2 linked regions of the Arabidopsis thaliana genome follow. The protein of the gene in region 1 interacts with the protein of each later gene in a pairwise test. Each region holds a gene or a part of one and is shown in the gene's direction. Other genes may lie near its edges.

Region 1 (5,023 bases):
GTGTCTCTCCCCCTCCCCGAGGATGCAATCGTCAATGGATAGAACAGAATGTAAATAAATTTAGCGTTCTAAGTTTTTACTTTATTAGACTACATCATGCGTATTAGGGTGTATATATGAGACATGAAGTTAACATTGATTGTTACTCCACTTTTTGTGTTACATTACTTTTTTTTTTTTCTTTCGGTAAAAGGTTATGTGTTACATTACTTGAGTAGGCAGTGGTACGTAATAATAATGCATACGAGTATAATAAAGTCATGTGATATAGACATACACAGTAGTAAGCATTGATATAGTCATTTCTCATAATATTAATATGATAGAAATGTTTCTTAGAGTTATTTTTATGTAATATAGATATCATTGAACTGAACCAAATGAATTTCCGTCGAGAGTATTGAAATTGCGACAAGACAGCTTTATAAAAATCTTTCTCTCTAATTACTGTTACGGTTTTACTAGAACTACTTGTTTCTGTTATGTTTAGTAAAATTGTTTTACTTTACATGAATGATATATTGATATCGGAATATTCAAGTTTCAAGACTGTTGTTAACTCTGACAGACACTATCTGTTTTATTTATTTATTTACTTTTAAGTAATACATTCAAAATTTGAGATGTATAAATGGATAAGAAACCTTGATATATGTTTCAAAAAGCAAATTGAGGAGAGTGTAATAGTAATAATGTAAAACAAAAAGTTGAATAAACGATTTTGGCTCACGTCATTGTTATTAAAAATGTATGCATGCGTGAAAAATAAGTGTAGGGTAAAAAGAAGAAAGTTTGTTGAGGCAAAGTTGCCTTAGAAAGCGGGGGAATTTCTCTCTTTCACTCACTGACATTATGTCTTTGTGTACTCACTCTCAGTACCAGTTTATTAAAGTATAAATAAAATGATATTGATGAAGAGAAACAATATATATTACACGAAGATAAAAAGATAAATTACGTAAGTAATATACTAATATTGTCATATATTTATGGAGACATAAAAAACCAAAAAAAAAAGATCTTGAGGTGATGAAAACGAACTTTTTGCAAGCGTCGTTGTTGTAGGCATTGCGGATGACTTAAAAATAATCAAATAAACAAAGAGAATGATACGTTTTATTAAATCATACATATGTCTTAAGTTATATTTTAAAATTTTAAATCATAGCCTCAACGAAGTTTGAAAAGGGATTTCAATTAATTTTTGCAAAAAGTTAATAGCAAATAAGTTCAGAGAGATAGAAAATAAATGTATCATCCAAATAGAAGAAATATAAATAAAGAAGAAAAAATTGATGTTAAAAAAAAAAGTTAAGGAATAACCCGACCCGAACAACCCGGTTTAGCCAAAATCTCAGGACTAGAAAATAATCAAATATGCTGGCAAGGCCAATTCGGTCCCATTAATAACTTATACATTGAATATCATAACATTTTTTGTTTTTTTCTTTCACAAATTATAGGAAAAATGGGTAAAAAACCATCACCAAATATTGTGTAAATATTTTACTAAATTGCATAACAATTTATAAGTTCTTTATAATATACACCATTCACCACTTAGTTTATTCTAATTATCTACATATACATTTTTGCAGCCACTTTGTAAAATAAATCCTGGAGTTGGGATTTATTTACAGTGGCTGCCACTGACATTTAATAATTATTTTAGATAATTAGAAAGAAAATCTTCTAATTAAATATTTGACATTTAACAATCTTCTTAAAATCTTTCTACCTTAACTACACGATTAATTACTAAAATAAAACTTTCAAAATATTTAATATCATTTAATTACTACAAAATTATCATTTTTGATGTTGCTTTTCTGCATGATTATAATCATCAAATCGCAGAGATATTTGATAGCATGTAATTACTACAAAATTACAAAATATTTAGACAATAATTCATAAACATATCATAAATAAGGTCAACATTAATAAAATAAATGAGTTTTCTTTACAGGACAGGTTGGCGGGACGGGTTTGGCAGGACGTTACGTAATAATAATTATAAACTATAAAATAAAAATATTTTATAAATAGATACAATTTACAATATATATATTAATTTAAAAAATAAATTGTTCCCCCGATATACCGCGAGTTTAAATATAGTTTTATATACATTTTGCTAGACTGCGATCTTGTAATCTTCTGATAACATCACAAGTTGGATACAATTTTTTTTTTCTCATCATGTCTCTTCTAAATTTTATTCTTTTTTCGTTAACATTTTATCCTTCAACTTACCACCCTCGTTATACTTTTTTTTTTCATTTAAGAAATGTAGTTTAGTTTTACATGCCTTTACTTATGAAGTTTTTAAACTTTACGATGGGTATTGTAATTTTGCTAACCTATTTTTAATATATATATAAAATCAAGAGATTTAAAAACTGATTTCTTAAAGAATTATCTATATGGTAAATAGTTCATGATTAATTTACCAGTCAACAACCGAGATTCAATGTCTCCAGCAAGGGAAATAATCACAAAAATATTTTGAAACAAATCTTTGACTACCTTTTAATACCATATCTTATTAATCATCACAATATTTGAAAATTATATATATTATTAAATAATTATATTAGTTGCATCATGTTTAAATAACATTACCAGATTGATATTTATTGATGATTTTTGCTGTTAAAAACTAAATTTGCTAGCTAAACATTTTATCCTATTTTATTGTTTTGATGTTACCACTCTATAAATATTTGGACTATAGTTCTACATATGTCAATCAGTAGTGATAATACATGTAGTAAATAAGAAAAACGGTTATAATCTCTATCTTCAATCCATTCAGATTTTTTTTATAATGTTCATGCATTAAAGCTTGATTTGGAAGTTTATATTTTCTTGTATTAAAATAAAGATACCCTATATAACAAATATTTGTACCTTCTCAGTACTACATAATACTACACATTAACAATCTCAAAATATACAAAAAAACATTTTAATGACGAGAAATAAAATGAAACTTGCTTTCATTTCCAACGATTCTTCAAGAAAAGCAACTTTCAAAAAAGAAAGAAGGGGTTGATGAAGAAAGTACATGAACTCTCAACTCTATGTGGCATCACATCGTGTGCGATCATCTACAGTCCGTATGATACCAGTCATGAAGTGTGGCCATCAAATTCTGGTGTGCAAAGAGTGGTTTCCGAATTTAGGACACTCCCGGAAATGGATCAACACAAAAAGATGGTAGATCAAGAAGGTTTTCTCAAACAAAGGATCGCGAAACCGACAGAGAATTTGAGGAGACAAAGAAAGGACAATAAGGAGCTCGAGATGACTGAAGTCATGTTTCGATGCTTAATTGGAAACATGGAGATGCTTAAATCAGAATCACAATCAGAATCAACAACAATGGTTTATGAAAATGATGAACCATCTTGAGCAAATGAAGTATCCAGGAGAGCAAATGGCGTTTCAATTCATGGATGATAGCCAACACAACCACATCCACCGTCATCAACAAGAGCACCAACATCATATCCCTGGAGAATCTTCCATCGCTCTTGATGTCGGCAACTCAAGCGATATCGTACATAGTTCTTGTTCTAAGTATTTCCAATAATAAATGGTTTCGTTAGGATTTTATTTAATGTGGTATTACAATAATTTCGAGAATGGATTGATAAGTGAATTTATAATTAGCTTTCAGTTTTTTTGTCATGTAATAGATTGCATCACAATTTATGTTTTTATTGTTATCAGTTTGATGATGGTGATATTTTTCATTCTATTTTCACAATGATATGTTGTTTTTAAATTTAGAGATTTGTGATACTCTTATTTTTATTGTTTCATTTTTCCGTTTATGTGTTGTTTTTCAACATATGTCTTACCTTTATTAATTCTTTAATAACATTTTGAGCAGATTAGATTTAAGGTTTCTTTTCAATTTTAGAACTGTTGAGATTTTATATTTTTTCTTTCAAATATAAAATATGACAGCTCACATTTTAAAAAAGAAAATATTTTCGTTTAAAGTGTTAAGTACAAATATTATATAATATATAATCAATAATATACACTGAAATGTTAATGTACCTAACATATTGTAAACCATTTAAAATTCTTTTAAAAACTCTTGTAAACCCTTTAATATTATGTGAACCATTTTAAAAGTCTTGTGAACCTACAACTCAATTTACTGTTTTATTGTCTTTTAGGTTCATCTACTTTGTCTAGCTTAATATTAGTCATCATAAGTTTATTGTGTTAACAACGAGAGCTTAGTGGAATTTGACCCTTAAGTGCTAACAACGATCTCTTATTTGTGGGAGTAAGCATAAGGCAATTTGAGCTATATCAACTCCGAAGCAAAACAAACTACATTACAAAAACATTTTAATCATGACTATCAAAAAACAAAATCCTTTTAAGTATTTTATCAACACACACTTGAACTTTAAAATCATAATAAATTTATTTTTAACACCATCAATAATATTTTTTAACACCTTCTGACATATCAAATCAACTTGATCTAGTAGAGATTATATAAAACAAAAAATTATCATGCAGTATACTATTACTTAATGACAATCATGCATAAATTATTTGCAAACTTTTATATAAAATACATAATCATATTAAAATCACAAATTTTAGAAAACAAATCATCCCATGGTGTAACATATCAATACCTAGTTAATGCTACAAATTTCAAGCCCAGACAAAGATATACATTTATCCCACAAGTGATGAAATATGAAAACCATTAATGGTATAAAATCAAATAGAATATGAATGGATATTCATTAGCAATTTAGCACTAATATTTTTCATTTAGTCAATGTATTCATTCTCATTTATGGGAATGAGTGGATTTTGATTTTATATTTTATTATTTCTTTAAAAGTTTAAAACTCAACCATGTGGAGCATAAATTGTTATGCTTTTTAGGTTTTTATTTAAAGTACAAACATATATATATATATATATATATATATATATATATATATATATTATCTGATTCACAAGTCACAAACAACCA
Region 2 (5,219 bases), about 12 Mb from region 1:
ATACTATAACAATTATAGATATATTTTAGCTAAGTAGATAAATTTTAGATTATACAAAGCCAGTTGGTATGCACACAAAATTATTATTTTGGAAGACAAAATGTATAAGATCACCATGGTTAGAAAAACAACCATATTTTCTATCTTTCATTGGAGTTATATATAACACATCATGTAAACAAAATCTAGTCAAATTTGAAATATATTAATTAAATTGGTGTATTTTTAACATATGAAGTATCATTTTAGAAAACAGAAAGAACAAAGTCAAGATAACTAGAGACACACGTACTTGAAATCATGAGTAAATAAATATTAGATTATACAAAGCCAGTTGGTACATAATGCACACCAAATTTTAATTTGGAAGACAATGTATAAATCAACATGGTTAGAAAAACAACCATAACTTTTAAAACTATGGATAATTATTCATAGTAGTTATATAACACATAACTTCATATAAACAAAATCTAGTCAAATTTGAAATATATTAATTAAATTGGTGTATATTTAAGAAAGAAAAAAAAAAGTCAAGATTGTTAAGAGGCACAACTATTTCTTTTAAACAAAAAACAATGAATTCAAAGTAGATTTACTGTTACAATTAATGCTATTTGCTCTTGGAGATTTTATACCTTAGCGAGTGCAACACAGTAATTAAATCTCTCAATATATACCATACGTCTCCGGAGAGAAGAAATCACTCACTTCTAATTCTCATCAAAGTTTTACAAAAAAAATGGAGAACCAATCTGTGTCTTCTTCAAGCTCCTCCACCACCCCAAAAAAACCTGATCAAAAACTCAAAAGTGCCGTTGTGACCGTGGAAGAGAAGGAGACAATGAACAATCCGGAACAAAGGCCCCCTCAAGAGGTTGTGTTTGAAAACACGATCCCTGACCCTGAGTTGCCTGTTTTCACATTAGAAGTTGTCCGAACGGAAAGAGATAACGAGCTAAAATATCCTCCAAAGGATAAAAATCTCGACTCGGTGCTTTCTGGTGGTACTTCTCTTCCGCCTTTCCAAAGCTTTCCAGTGCCCTCTTTCGGCCTCTTTGGTCCAGCGTATGGCGGTAGCAGCTCAACTAATGATATTAATCTGGATCTCACTCTTGGTCCATCTTCTTGGTCTAACACTAACCCATCTTCTTGGTCTAACACTGACCCATCGTTCTATCGAAAATTGTTCACTCCCGTGCTACCTTGTGTGCCTAGAAACAATTTTGTTGCTGGAAACCCGGTTGGTTCAAACACTAGGTATATTCCTCCGAATGGAAACAACAATGTTTGTCATGATTTTTTTTTTTTACAGGGGAATAGTTCGGCCTCTACTCACTCGAAAAGTCTCTTCTCAATGGGAAAGAACCAAGCCATGGTGCGTCATTTTGCTTTATCTTATCCAACCACCTATTATTGTTATGATTTGTTTTCTTTACAAGGGAATGGTTCGGGAAACTGGCCACTCAAGTCTCATCTCAAAGTGGGAAAAAAAGTCAGGGTGCCTCCTTTGGCTCCTCCCTATTGAAACAACAATCATGATTTTTTTTCTTTACAGGAGAATGGTTCGGGATCTAGTCACTCGAAAAGTCTCTTCTCAATGGAAAAGAACAAAGCCGTGGAGCCTCCTGTTGCTCCTCCTAATGGAACCACCGATCTTCTGTTTCCTTCACCCGAGAATGGTTCGGGCTCTAGTCACTTAAAAAGTCTCATCTCAAAGGGGGAAAACAAAGTCGTGGTGCCTGAAAATGATGATGATGATGATGATTATACTGATACTACTATCGGGAGGATAAGGTGGTTGAACAAGAAAAAAAGATCAAGACCAGAGTAGTAATTTATCTATGTCCCTTTGATTTTTCAGTTTTCTATTGAGGCTTATGTTCACCTCTCTTTTTTTTTTCATGCAATTGTTTCTTCGTTTCGTTTCAAATAATCTCTGTTGTTTCGATTAATTCATCAGTCCCTTTTGTTCAATTCCTATATCTCATGATTGCTCTAAAATTCCTGCAATTTTCAGAATTCATGGCCCAATTATTCGTAAGCAAACGTTATTTTTTCAAAAGGTTAAAGAGGTTAAAGAGACATTAAAGAGACAAAATGTATAAAATCACCATAGTTAGAAAAACAACCATATTTTTAAGAATATAGATAACTCATAGTAGTCATACGTAACGCATATGAAGAATATTGATTATATTGTTGTGTTTTTATCTTATGAAGTATCATTTTCTAGAAAGAAATTAAAGAATAAAGTGAATGACAGTTGTAGTCTTGGAGAAACAATTATTGCTTTTAAACAAAATTAAGTAGTTTTACGGTATCAATTAATATTTGTTACCCTTGGAGATTATATACCTTAACGAGTTAAATACAATAATTACTATCCTCTCAATAAATATCGCCTCTAAGCAAAGAGATAAGACATCACTCACTTCTAACTGTCAGCAAAGTTTTACAAAACAAATTATGAACAACCAATCTATGTCTTCTTCAAGCTCCTCCTCCCCACACAAACATGATCAAAAACTCAAAAGTGCCCTTGTGGCCGTGGAGGAGAAGGAGACAATAAACAATCCGAAACAAAGGTCTCCTCAAGAGATTGTGTCTGAAAGGACAAACCTTGAGATGCCTAGTTTCAGATTAAGTTTTTTCCGAAAGAAAAGAGATACCGTGCTAATACATCCTCCCAAGGATAACAAGATCAGCCACACCTGTCGTTTCTGCAAGAGGAATTTCAAAAGCTGTTTTGCCCTAGGCGGTCACATGAAGTGCCACAAAAAGGAACGAGAATTGGAGAAGCAGCGAAAGATAATCGAGGATGCGATGCTTTGTGATAGTACTCCTTTCACCTTGCAAAGGCTTCCTGTTGGCCCTTGTAAGTATGGCCAAGGTGGTAGCTCACATGCTTTATCAACTGATGGTATTAATCTTGATCTAACTCTTGGTCCATCCAAGTCCACAGGAGGCAGCAACAATAGCACTAATAACAACACTAACTCATCGTTCCATGGGAATCTAATGACTCCCGTGGGTCCTTGTGTGCCTAGATACAGTTTGGTTGCTGGAAACCAGGTTGATTCAAGCAATATACATGTTCCTGCTTATCCAACCACCGATCTTTGTTATGATTTTTTTGCTTTACAAGAGCATGGTTCGGGCTCTAGTCACTCAAAAAGTCTCATCTCAAAGGGGAAAAACAAAGTCATGGTGCCTGAAGATGATGAGGATATCGGGATGATAAGGTGGTTGCCCAAGAAAAAAAGATCAAGAGGAGAGTAGTAATTTATCTATGTCCCTTTGTGTTTTTCAGTTTTCTGTTTTCTATTGAGGCCTATGTTCACCTCTTCTTTTTTTCATGCAATTGTTTTTCTCTTTTTGTTTCTTTGTTGTCTTTTTGATGATTTTGATGTTTCGATTAATTCATCAAATCCCTTTTTCAATTCCTACATTTCATGATTGTTCTTAAATTTTTGAGATTTTCAGAAGTCATTTTCGTAAGCGAACTTAATTTTTTCAAAGGTTAGAGAGAATCTGCAATTTGCTTAAAAACATTAGTTAAAGAGACATTATCTCTTCATTGACAATTTGTTAGCCTTGGAAAATTGAAAAAAAAAAATAAGAGGCAGAAAGAAGGTCTATCTGATCTTCTATTGTTGTAATTGTAACCTCACAAAAAAAAAAAAAAAAAAAAAAAAAAAAAAAAAAAAAAGAGGCAGTGGTTTCCTTTTGACGATTAGGGTTTCGCTGGTTCCAGTTTGCCCGGTTTTCTTCCTTGACCCAGATCCGATTTACTAGATTGTATTACAAATGTAATCATCTTTCAGGATATTTGTAACAAAAAGATACAACTGTTATCCAATAAAACTGTTATTTTTTTTATGTATTAATATAATCTTGTAATCCTAGTAAGAATTTATAAAACTTAAAAACCTGTAAGGCTGTAACTGATGTTTGCATCTCCATTCTCCAAAGATCTTTTCTATTGAACAAAAATCAAAACTATTTTTGTTTCTCTTGTTCAAGAGAAATCTCCTTTTAAAGATAATTTCCTGAAGACATTTATTCCATAGTATGAAGATCGAGGTCTAGAAGTTGATAGTATTGAAAATTGTCTATTGGATCAACTGGATTGTTTTCTCAAACAAATGAAAGTCAATATTGAAAAACACAAGTGCTTTTTCTTCCAAGCAGGAGATTGATAATTTTGCATTTGGAGCTTGTGCAGATCATTTATATATTAATTTAAGTTCGTGAAGATTTAGGTTTATGGTTGTAGATACCTCACACAAAGCTTACATAGTAGTTACATAGGAATAATACCGAACATCGTCGCTTCATTTGAGATGTTGGGTTGATAGACCCAACAATAAAATCATCCTAAAAGAAGTAAGCTACGTACTTATTATTTATAAAGGCTTGTCCTCCTCCCTTCCTTAAAGCCAAAGCCAACTCTTTAAGTCTCGCTCTCACTGCTTCTGGCGAAAGCTCAAGTTGAGGATGACCTCTCAGAAAATCATCGCTTCCATTTCCATATTCCTCAGATTCAATCTTCTTAAAGCACATATACAATAGCAAAACGGAATCTAGAATTTTATATTATAAAAATGTTGCCACGATTTTTACCAATATCTTATTCAATGTCGACCAAATTAACTATTGAAACCCTAATATCACTGCTTTTATGGAAGTTTGTTTTTCTTGTTCAATCATCGTGGTCTAGAAGTTGATAGCATTGAGAGTTGCTATATGATGAAACTTTATAGTTTTTGCTAGACAATGAGAGTCAATATTGAATACATGAGGAATATGAATACTTCTCAACTTGCAAATTTGTATTTTTACTTCGCAAATTAACAATCTTTTATGAAATTTTAAACAAGTTTTTTGAAAACATCAACATAGATGGAAAATCTGACTAGGAATTTCACAGAAATATGTAAAATCGATTTCTAAGTTCTTGTTGTTAGTTTTAGATGTTATATATTAATGTTCAGGAGATAACGTCATCAAGCGGGGATAGCTCAGTTGGGAGAGCGTCAGACTGAAGATCTGAAGGTCGCGTGTTCGATCCACGCTCACCGCATTTTTCTTTTTGTTTTTGAAATTTTATTTCTCGTTGCAAAACCAAACGACGCCGTATAAATATAAAAGAACAAATTGACTTGGAGCGACGTTGCTTCGTTAGAACGTTAGGTCGCACGTGTAATTGACTTCTC

Evidence for each region. Proteins that work in one complex are often made in the same cells at the same time.
Region 2: the proteins of AT5G27810 (region 1) and AT5G54360 interact in a two-hybrid assay, tested with the Arabidopsis thaliana proteins (one large-scale study listed by BioGRID).

What each region holds. Positions count from the first base shown.
Region 1 is NC_003076.8:9,852,770-9,857,792, forward strand, and holds AT5G27810 (MADS-box transcription factor family protein), read left to right. Parts: upstream 1-2,901; 5' UTR 2,902-3,057; coding exon 3,058-3,417; 3' UTR 3,418-3,689; downstream 3,690-5,023.
Region 2 is NC_003076.8:22,069,393-22,074,611, forward strand, and holds AT5G54360 (C2H2-like zinc finger protein), read left to right. Parts: upstream 1-2,469; coding exon 2,470-3,282; downstream 3,283-5,219. Other genes in the region: AT5G54350 (C2H2-type zinc finger protein), read left to right, coding at 743-1,528.